Danio rerio: one gene and its partner. Each later gene encodes a partner of the first gene's protein in a complex. Links are inferred from orthologs where the notes say so. Each region holds a gene or a part of one and is shown on either strand. Other genes may lie near its edges. The genes, in order: npr3 and nppc.

Evidence for each region.
Region 2: the proteins of npr3 (region 1) and nppc are in contact, whole or in part, in a crystal structure (PDB 1JDP), measured with the Homo sapiens proteins. The link is inferred for Danio rerio from reciprocal best matches to the Homo sapiens genes NPR3 and NPPC. Residues at the interface, in NP_001191304.1 of Homo sapiens: Asn110, Tyr138, Ala141, Pro142, Arg145, Ala161, Gly163, Phe164, His166, Glu170, Tyr171, Tyr204, Lys208, Leu209, Arg211, Tyr214, Phe215, Leu217, Glu218, His221, Glu222, Gln225, Ile233; in NP_077720.1 of Homo sapiens: Gly109, Cys110, Phe111, Gly112, Leu113, Lys114, Leu115, Asp116, Arg117, Ile118, Gly119, Ser120, Met121, Ser122, Gly123, Leu124, Gly125, Cys126.

The regions. Positions count from the first base shown.
Region 1 is NC_133180.1:42,212,734-42,217,099, reverse strand, and holds the start of npr3 (atrial natriuretic peptide receptor 3 precursor), read left to right. Parts: upstream 1-1,413; 5' UTR 1,414-1,743; coding exon 1,744-2,413; intron 2,414-4,366. UniProt on the Homo sapiens protein: Receptor for the natriuretic peptide hormones, binding with similar affinities atrial natriuretic peptide NPPA/ANP, brain natriuretic peptide NPPB/BNP, and C-type natriuretic peptide NPPC/CNP.
Region 2 is NC_133197.1:40,808,586-40,812,359, reverse strand, and holds the end of nppc (C-type natriuretic peptide precursor), read left to right. Parts: intron 1-629; coding exon 630-928; intron 929-2,697; coding exon 2,698-2,698; 3' UTR 2,699-3,137; downstream 3,138-3,774.

The DNA of each region.
Region 1 (4,366 bases):
TCACCTGTACCGCATGTCTTTGGACTGTGGGGGAAACCGGAGCACCCGGAGGAAACCCTCGGGAACATGTGGAGAACATGAAAACTCCACACAGAAACGCCAACTAACCCAGCTGAGGCTCGAACCAGTGACCTTCTTGCTGTGAGGCAACAGCACTACCTACCACGCCACTGCATTGCCCTAATTTGATTGCTGATTTATAGAAAGTAAGGTAGTTGTAATTTTGTAAGGTTATTCAGAACAAGATGTTATTTTGTGCTTTAACTGAAGCAGATTTAGTTTACTAACTTCATCTATGTTAAGCTTATCTGGCACAATCTACATTGTAATAAGCGCTATAGAAATAAAGATGAATTGAATTTATAAGAACTAATATATCGCAAGCTAATAATATGAATGCTAACAAGTCATAAACATGCGTTCCTTAATCTAAAGGGTTAATAACTAAATAAATAAAGTTAATAAAAAGATTCTCCTTCTATATCAACCACCAAAACAACAACAAACAAACAAACAGGGGGAGGGGAGGGTCAAAAATGTTGACTTGTTCACTCATTTAGTCCACAATACAGATACGTATGATTTTAGATCATCTAAAGTATGTATGATTGCTTTTGTTACTGTGAAGTGTGATGTTTCTGATGTAATTCTGATGTAATTAAACTGTGATTCAGTAATATCTTGCTGCATATGTCCACAGTTGGCGTTTGATGAATTGCATCTGGTGCAAAATACTATGGCCAGATTTCTAACGTGAAAATGAAGCATGGGTTTCACACTTCTTTGCTGGATGTCTTTGAAAATATGTATGACGTATATGGCCTTAGTCATACTTGCCCACTAATACACATCTGTGGCCTTTAGTTTACATATTCCCCCTTGATATCAGACTCATCTTGCAGTAAACTTTCTTTTAGGCTTCAAGAGCCTTGTCAATAACTCCAATTTTGTGAAGTTTCTAGTTTTTCTCTGTTTCTAGTTTGCTCTTTTGTTGCTCATTTTAAAATTTAAACTTTGTATTTTGCAGCTTTTATTGCTAATTAAACAGATGCTTTCCTTTTATTGTTGGGTTAATGTTTGTTGCATTGAATAGTATGCAATCGCATAATTAATAATTAACAGAAATGTCATATTGCACAACTCTGCATCAGGACGTTTTTGTTTTAAATGTGTTTCATAGTTTAATAATTACAAAATCACGTAATATTATATGAGCATCACTAATTAGCTGAAAGCGTGATGTGAGGACTGTACCTTGACCGCTTGATCCAAACTGAAGTTGCTGACTGTCATGGTTTGCAGCACTGTCGCTTTAAGGAGGGGGCGGGAAGCGCAGTAATGACGCAGGAATAATAATGAAAGGATGCTTGAAAATTCCTCCTAGACTGCAGCATGTGTGGTGACCAGCCGAGCCGCACACTTCACACATCCTAACAAGAGTAATTACACAGGCAAGCGGAGAGTTAGACAGAGACCCAGAGAAGACTCCAAACAGGGGAAGAGAAAGAGAGAGAGAGAAGGGCTCTGGACACACTTGCAGGAGAGAGACACACACGACACAACTCACTCATAAACTGAAAGAGTGGGATTGTACCACACTAAGTTCAATTAAGGATACGTCTTAATTTATATAGCAATCAACTTTGGAGAGAAGGCAAAAGAGAGAGAGGGAGAGAGAGAAACTTTCAACAGCTTTGACAGAAAAAGACAAACTGTCAGTTACTTCGTTCATTGGTGTTAAAGATGTCATGTTTCATGCCACTCTGTCTGTCCATTTGGGCAGTGCTCATGGTGCCTGGCAGGACAAGTGCACTGAATGACAACATCGAAGTGATGGTCATGTTGCCTCGCAACAACACATACCTGTTCTCGTACACGAGAGTTTTTCCGGCTATTGAGTACGCGAAAAAAGCCCTCAGAGAAGCAGACGCGTATGCGGGACTGAGATTCAATGTGCGCTTTGAGAACTCCGCGTGCGGGATGGACGCTCTCTACGCGCTCGTGGACCGGCAGAAAGACGAGCGTCCCGACCTGGTCCTCGGTCCGGTGTGCGAGTACGCGGCTTCGTCGGTCACGAGGGTGGCATCGCACTGGAACATCCCGGTGATCTCGGCAGGTGCTCTGGCCACCGGCTTCAACAGCAAAACCCCCGAGTACTCTCATCTGACACGAATCGCACCAACATACCTGAAGATGGCTGAGACCTTTCAGGCGATATTCGGACATTTCGGCTGGAGAACCGCGTATTTGATTTACGACGATGATAAAGATGAGAGAAACTGTTACTTTACGATGGAGGGAGTTTTTACGGTGCTCTCTGAGTACCACATCTCAACAGATTTTGCCGTGTTGAACTCCAACGAGGAGAGAGTAGACCCCGACGGGATCATCACCTCCGTCTACGGGAGCGAAGGTAAAGTCCGTCATTAGTTCCCGTGTCATGGCAAGCCGCATTAACATTTATTTCTTACGAACCTTTTTGTTCAGTTACTTTTTTGATAGATATTCGCATTTAACACTGGTAACCTTACTGTATGTAGACTATTAAATAGGTTACTTAGTTGTACATAATAATTATATTGCATGTTTTGTACAATAAATTATTTGGAGATGCAAGATCTGTTTGATATCAACCACTTCATACAATCAAACAGCTTCATACAGCGGTTGCTGGAACCTCTTAGTTTTAAAAGTGTTGACTATTCAGATTTGTTTCTATCCCATATAGTCTGAATATTAGTTCAAATAAATCAAATGAAATGGCTTGCCATAAAAAATAAAAAAAAAGTTTATTTTGGTATTTGTTAAAAAAACAATCTGGCAGATAATCTTCTTTCTAGTAGGTGTTTATCTTCACAAGTGGAATAGATGACACCTTGTGGAGCATTTTACATTTCATTTACCAGCCTAGACCCTAACTACTAAACTACACCAGTGGTAGTAATCCACATTGATAGGAATAAATCAATATCTCCTTTCCATTGCAAATGAATGATGTATTAGAAACATGGGAGTGGGTGTGGGTCCTGGGATCAAATCTGTCATAGAACCTCTAAGATATTCAAAGCAGAGTAGTATTTTTCCTTTTCTTTGACATTTTACATTCCTGGCTACTCGTCAAACACTATTAAGGGTAACTACCTGACCTGTAGAGAATATTAGCTTGAAAACCATTCTGAAAAATCAGTGTAGTCAGATATTTTTTTTACCAGGAGCTTGTTTTCTGCAGTATGCTGTGACTCAACTCGAGTATTTGCAGGTCAAGAGGGTGGATTTTGCAAAGTATTGCCCCGGGTCAACACATTTCCTAATGTTATTAGGCCACTTTTGTTATTAAACTGGAAATTATGTGTTTCTCTAAGTGTTTTTTTTTACATTACATGATAATTCATGAAAAGGAACTCCAACACATGTTAGGGAAGGTTAGATTTAGAAAATATAGAAAGATGTCAGAAGTGGCTATATAAGTGGTGTTTTAATCCCTCTGTGATCTCCTTGGGGTTCCCGTCAATACAGACAGGCAAGAGGTCAGTTGAAAAGAAAAAAAGCTTGTGGAAAAAATGATCAGAATTTTGACAGACGGTCAACACTGAGCAAGAGCTGTTGGAATTTTGGGGAGCAATTGTAGGCTTTAGCACTCCTCTAGACATCCTCCAGCACTTTTTAACAGCTTGTCTCATGGCGAGTAAAGTCATGCGCTGTCTGCCTGGCTGATTCTTAATAACCAGAGAGGATACACCCTCCCCGGAGCTCACTGCTACTATTGCTGTTGGACACATTGTGGCGCTAAAAGATATGCCTGCTGTCAAAACTATGAACTGTCTGCTGTTTTAGCCTGCTCTCAAACATCATATCCGTCTGCCCCAAATCTGTGGCATTTCACAGTAAGTCTGACTGTGCACCTCCTTACTGATCCTGTTTCATAAACAGTGCATTTCTCACATTCCTAGCAAGGATGTTGTCGATTTTAGAAAATATACAGATATGCCTCAATACAGGGGCCCTGCACAAGGCCTAGTCCCCTGTATCGCTTTTCTAAGACAGTCCCGTGCGCTGAAACGAACATCTTAGGTTTCTTAAGCTAAAGCATATTGCCTGAACGCTGGTCATTAAAGGAATGTTCCACCAATTCTCAAAATGTCAGTATGGAATGACTGAAACGGGGTAGGAGGTTAATGCTGTCTTGAGGCTGTTTTGACACCAACAATGTCAGGGTTACAGCTCTCGAGGCCTTTTTATATCATTCTTTCCCTTTTCAACTAGTTCACAGCAGCTAGAGGTCCTCAACATGTTGTGATCCCCAGCAGCAGCTGTAAAGGTACAAGTATGGAATGCCCTTCGTATGATGACACGCACTTCCTTTGAT
Region 2 (3,774 bases), on another chromosome or scaffold:
AATCATTGGTATCTAAAAGTGTTGTTAAAATTGTGTTGAAAAAAACCTTTGGGTTTGGGTCGAATATGGGTCGAATACATTGGGTCGAATATGGACAAACCATGAGGTTAAAATAGTTATTTAAAATTAATAAAAAAATGAACCTAACATTGGGTCAAATATGGACAATCCAAACAATTGGGTTAAATGGTGTAATTTAAATGTAATTGAAAACCTCATGTTGGGTCAAATGTGGACAAACCCAACCATTTAAAATGGATTTAAATAAAATAAAAATATTTAAAAATAAGTTAACCTAAAATTGGGTCAAATATGGACAAAATCAACTGTTGGGTTAAAAAGTGTTCATTAAATTTTATTGACAAAATACCCCCGACATTGGGTCAGCTGTGGGCAAACCCAACTGTAGGGTTAAAAGTGTTAAGATTAAAAAAATTAATCCAGTGTTGGGTCGAATATGGATAAACCTAACCAAATTGTTTTAATTGTTAAATTTAGTTAAAAAAACAACCCAACTTTGGGTTAAGACATGTGTCAGAGTGTATAGAGTGAATCCAGAGTCATTATGAAGTGTCTGTGTGTCTGGTGAGTGTGCGCGTGCTGACGCTCTGTGTGTGTGTTTGTCTCAGTCCCTCAGGGTGCTGCTGGGAGAGGAGCTGTCTGAGTTCCTGGAGGCTGAGGACAGTCAGCGGAGGCTGGAGAACAGGGTGCGTCTGCTGCGGGACATCCGGACGGACACTCGGGCACGGGGCCCCTGGGCGCGGATCATGAACGAACAGCAAGGGACCCGCAGACACAGAGCCGGATCTAAGAAAGGCGGAGCAACAGCCCGGAGCGGCTGCTTCGGACACAAGATGGACAGGATAGGGACCATGAGCGGGATGGGCTGCCAGCCGTCCCACTACCACTCCATTAACAACCTCTCATGGTGAGCAGATCAACACACGGTCACATGACCACCGAAATCACACCGCAGATCATGACCTTTACATTCATGTAATCTCATTTGAACATCTCAGGATGATCTGCTGTGAAGGTGGACTATTCAGAGACCAATACATGTTTCACATTGTTTACAGACCAAGATTTTAGCTTCTGGCACGATTAAAACCATTGTTTGCAATTGGCACAACTATAGCAGCCGGCCATGTGTAGTGACCCTGTGGAGCTCCAGACCAACAGTTTAGTGGAAAGTGCACAGTTATTTATTGGGCAGCTGTGGTTTTATGGTTTATTAGCACCCAGACGTCTCTTTCAGACAGCTTTCTCTTAGTTTAATCATCTCTTGACAGATGTAGTTCTTCTCTTTAGTGACTTTTATAATGTTGTGTATATTGCAATATTTAAGGCAAACCTGTTCTAATTAAAGCTTCACATTCTCCTCTTACTGTTGAAATGAAGAGCAGCGAAGATCAGCCCAAAATTCAACCACACTGTAAAAAAAAATCTGTAATATTACGGTTTATTTTTGGCAGCTGGGGTGCCGGAAATTAGTTTTTTAAATAATGGCATTAAATTGCAAAAATTTACTGTAAAAAAAAATGGATATTACATTACAAAAATTTACAGTGAAATAACAGACAATTAATTAAAATAATTTACAGTAAAATAACAGACATTAAATTACAGAAATTTACCATAAAATAACAGACATTAAATTACAGAAATTTACCGTAAAATAACGGGTATTACATTAAAGAAATATACCGTAAAATAACAGACATTTAATTAAAATAACTTACAGTAAAATAACGGACATTAAATTACAGAAATTTACCATCAAATAACAGACATTAAATTACAGAAATTTACCGTAAAATAACGAATATTACATTGAAGAAATATACCGTAAAATAAAGGATATTAAATTACAGAAATTTACCATAAAAAATGGATATTACATTACATTACAGAAATTTACTGTAAAATAACATACATTAAATTACAGAAATTTACCAGAAAATAATGAATATTACATTATAGAAATTTACAGTAAAATAACGAATATTAGATTAAAAAAATTTACTGTAAAATAATTGATATTATATTACAGAAATTTACCAGAAATGTCAATTTTTTTTGGGGGGGGGGGGGGTTACATTTTTTTTACAGTGTATGAAACCTCCAAAACTAAATTGGCTAAAAATACTGCCAGGTTCCCACCATACGTGATTGATTCAAATTCAGTACGTTCATGACAAACGCATTGTGTATTCTGTGTCGTTGTCACGTTTGCATTGACGACTTGCATTTTACTCATTTTACTAACGTATTCAGTTTAAATGGGGAACTATTAAATTCTAGATTACGAAGCTTATGAATAAATGTCATATGAGGAATCAAGAATAAAATTAAACAACATCTGTCTCTTTAGTTTTATTACTAAAAGTTTGAATCACACAAAATCTGCAGAAAATTACTCTTGTTCGAGCCCCTCCCCCAGAGACAGTCTATAGTGACCGCTGATTGGCTCCTGTACTAGAAGGCGGGACTTCATTCTTCATATTGACCGTTACACTTTTCCCCATTCAAAACTATACAGGTGACACGTCTTGTGTATTCTAGAGTCTTTGATTAACGTGCATCACAGTGTGTTTGTGTTTTCATGTGGACGGAGATTTATTAACAATGAAAGCAGGGAGAACTCGTGTACGTGTGGAAGTGACCTAATATGTGTGAATCTGCTCTTTCTTTCAGAGCATCACAGACGTCATCGAGTGCGGATATGACAAACTGAGCTGCTTCTCTATGAGGGAAAAAAGGCAAAAAACTGAGACTAATGGTACGAAGAACCACTAGTGGACGATAAGACGGACAAAAATCATTCAAACAAACAAACAAACATATGTATAAAGAAACACTCACGGCGGACCATGACGAGGATGAGGAAAGCTGTATATTGCTGCTGCTGCTGCTGCTGCTGCTGTACATTCATGTATTTCATTCTGGCATAAATGTATTTATGTTTTAAAAACTATTTATATGTTTATAAAAGAGATATTTATAAATATCAGTTTTATTTATGTAACATTGAAATGAATGCAAAATGCAGGTCAATTCTGTTTGTAACTATTTTGTCTCTAATAGTTGTAAATGTTTTAAGTATCATTAAAAAATGCACAAACGCAACAAACGAAGCAGAATTCTCCAATCTGTACAATTCACCAGACTAAAGAGCAGACTATCTATCTATCTATCTATCTATCTATCTATCTATCTATCTATCTATCTGTCTGTCTGTCTGTCTGTCTGTCTATCTATCTATCTATCTATCTATCTATCTATATATCTATGTCTATCTATCTATCTATCTATCTATCTATCTATCTATCTATCTATCTATCTATCTATCTGTCTGTCTGTCTGTCTGTGTCTGTCTGTCTGTCTGTCTGTCTATCTAACTATCTATATATCTATGTCTATCTATCTATCTATCTATCTATCTATCTATCTATCTATCTATCTATCTATCTATCTATCTATCTATCTATCTATCTATCTATCTATCTATCTATCTATCTATCTATCTATCTATCTATCTATCTATCTATCTAATTTGTCTGTCTGTCTGTCTGTCCATCCATCTATCTGTTTATCTGCATGGTGAATGCTATCTGTTTTCTTCCTACTGGACACAAGAGGGCGCCGTCGGACATAAAATCCAGGGGAAAAGATTTTTCAGGACAGTTTGTCTCATATTGCTTAGTTGTTTAGTTTTCAAAACAATAAGTTTAGATCTCTGAACATTTAGCTTGTTGCTCACTTCAGAGTGGC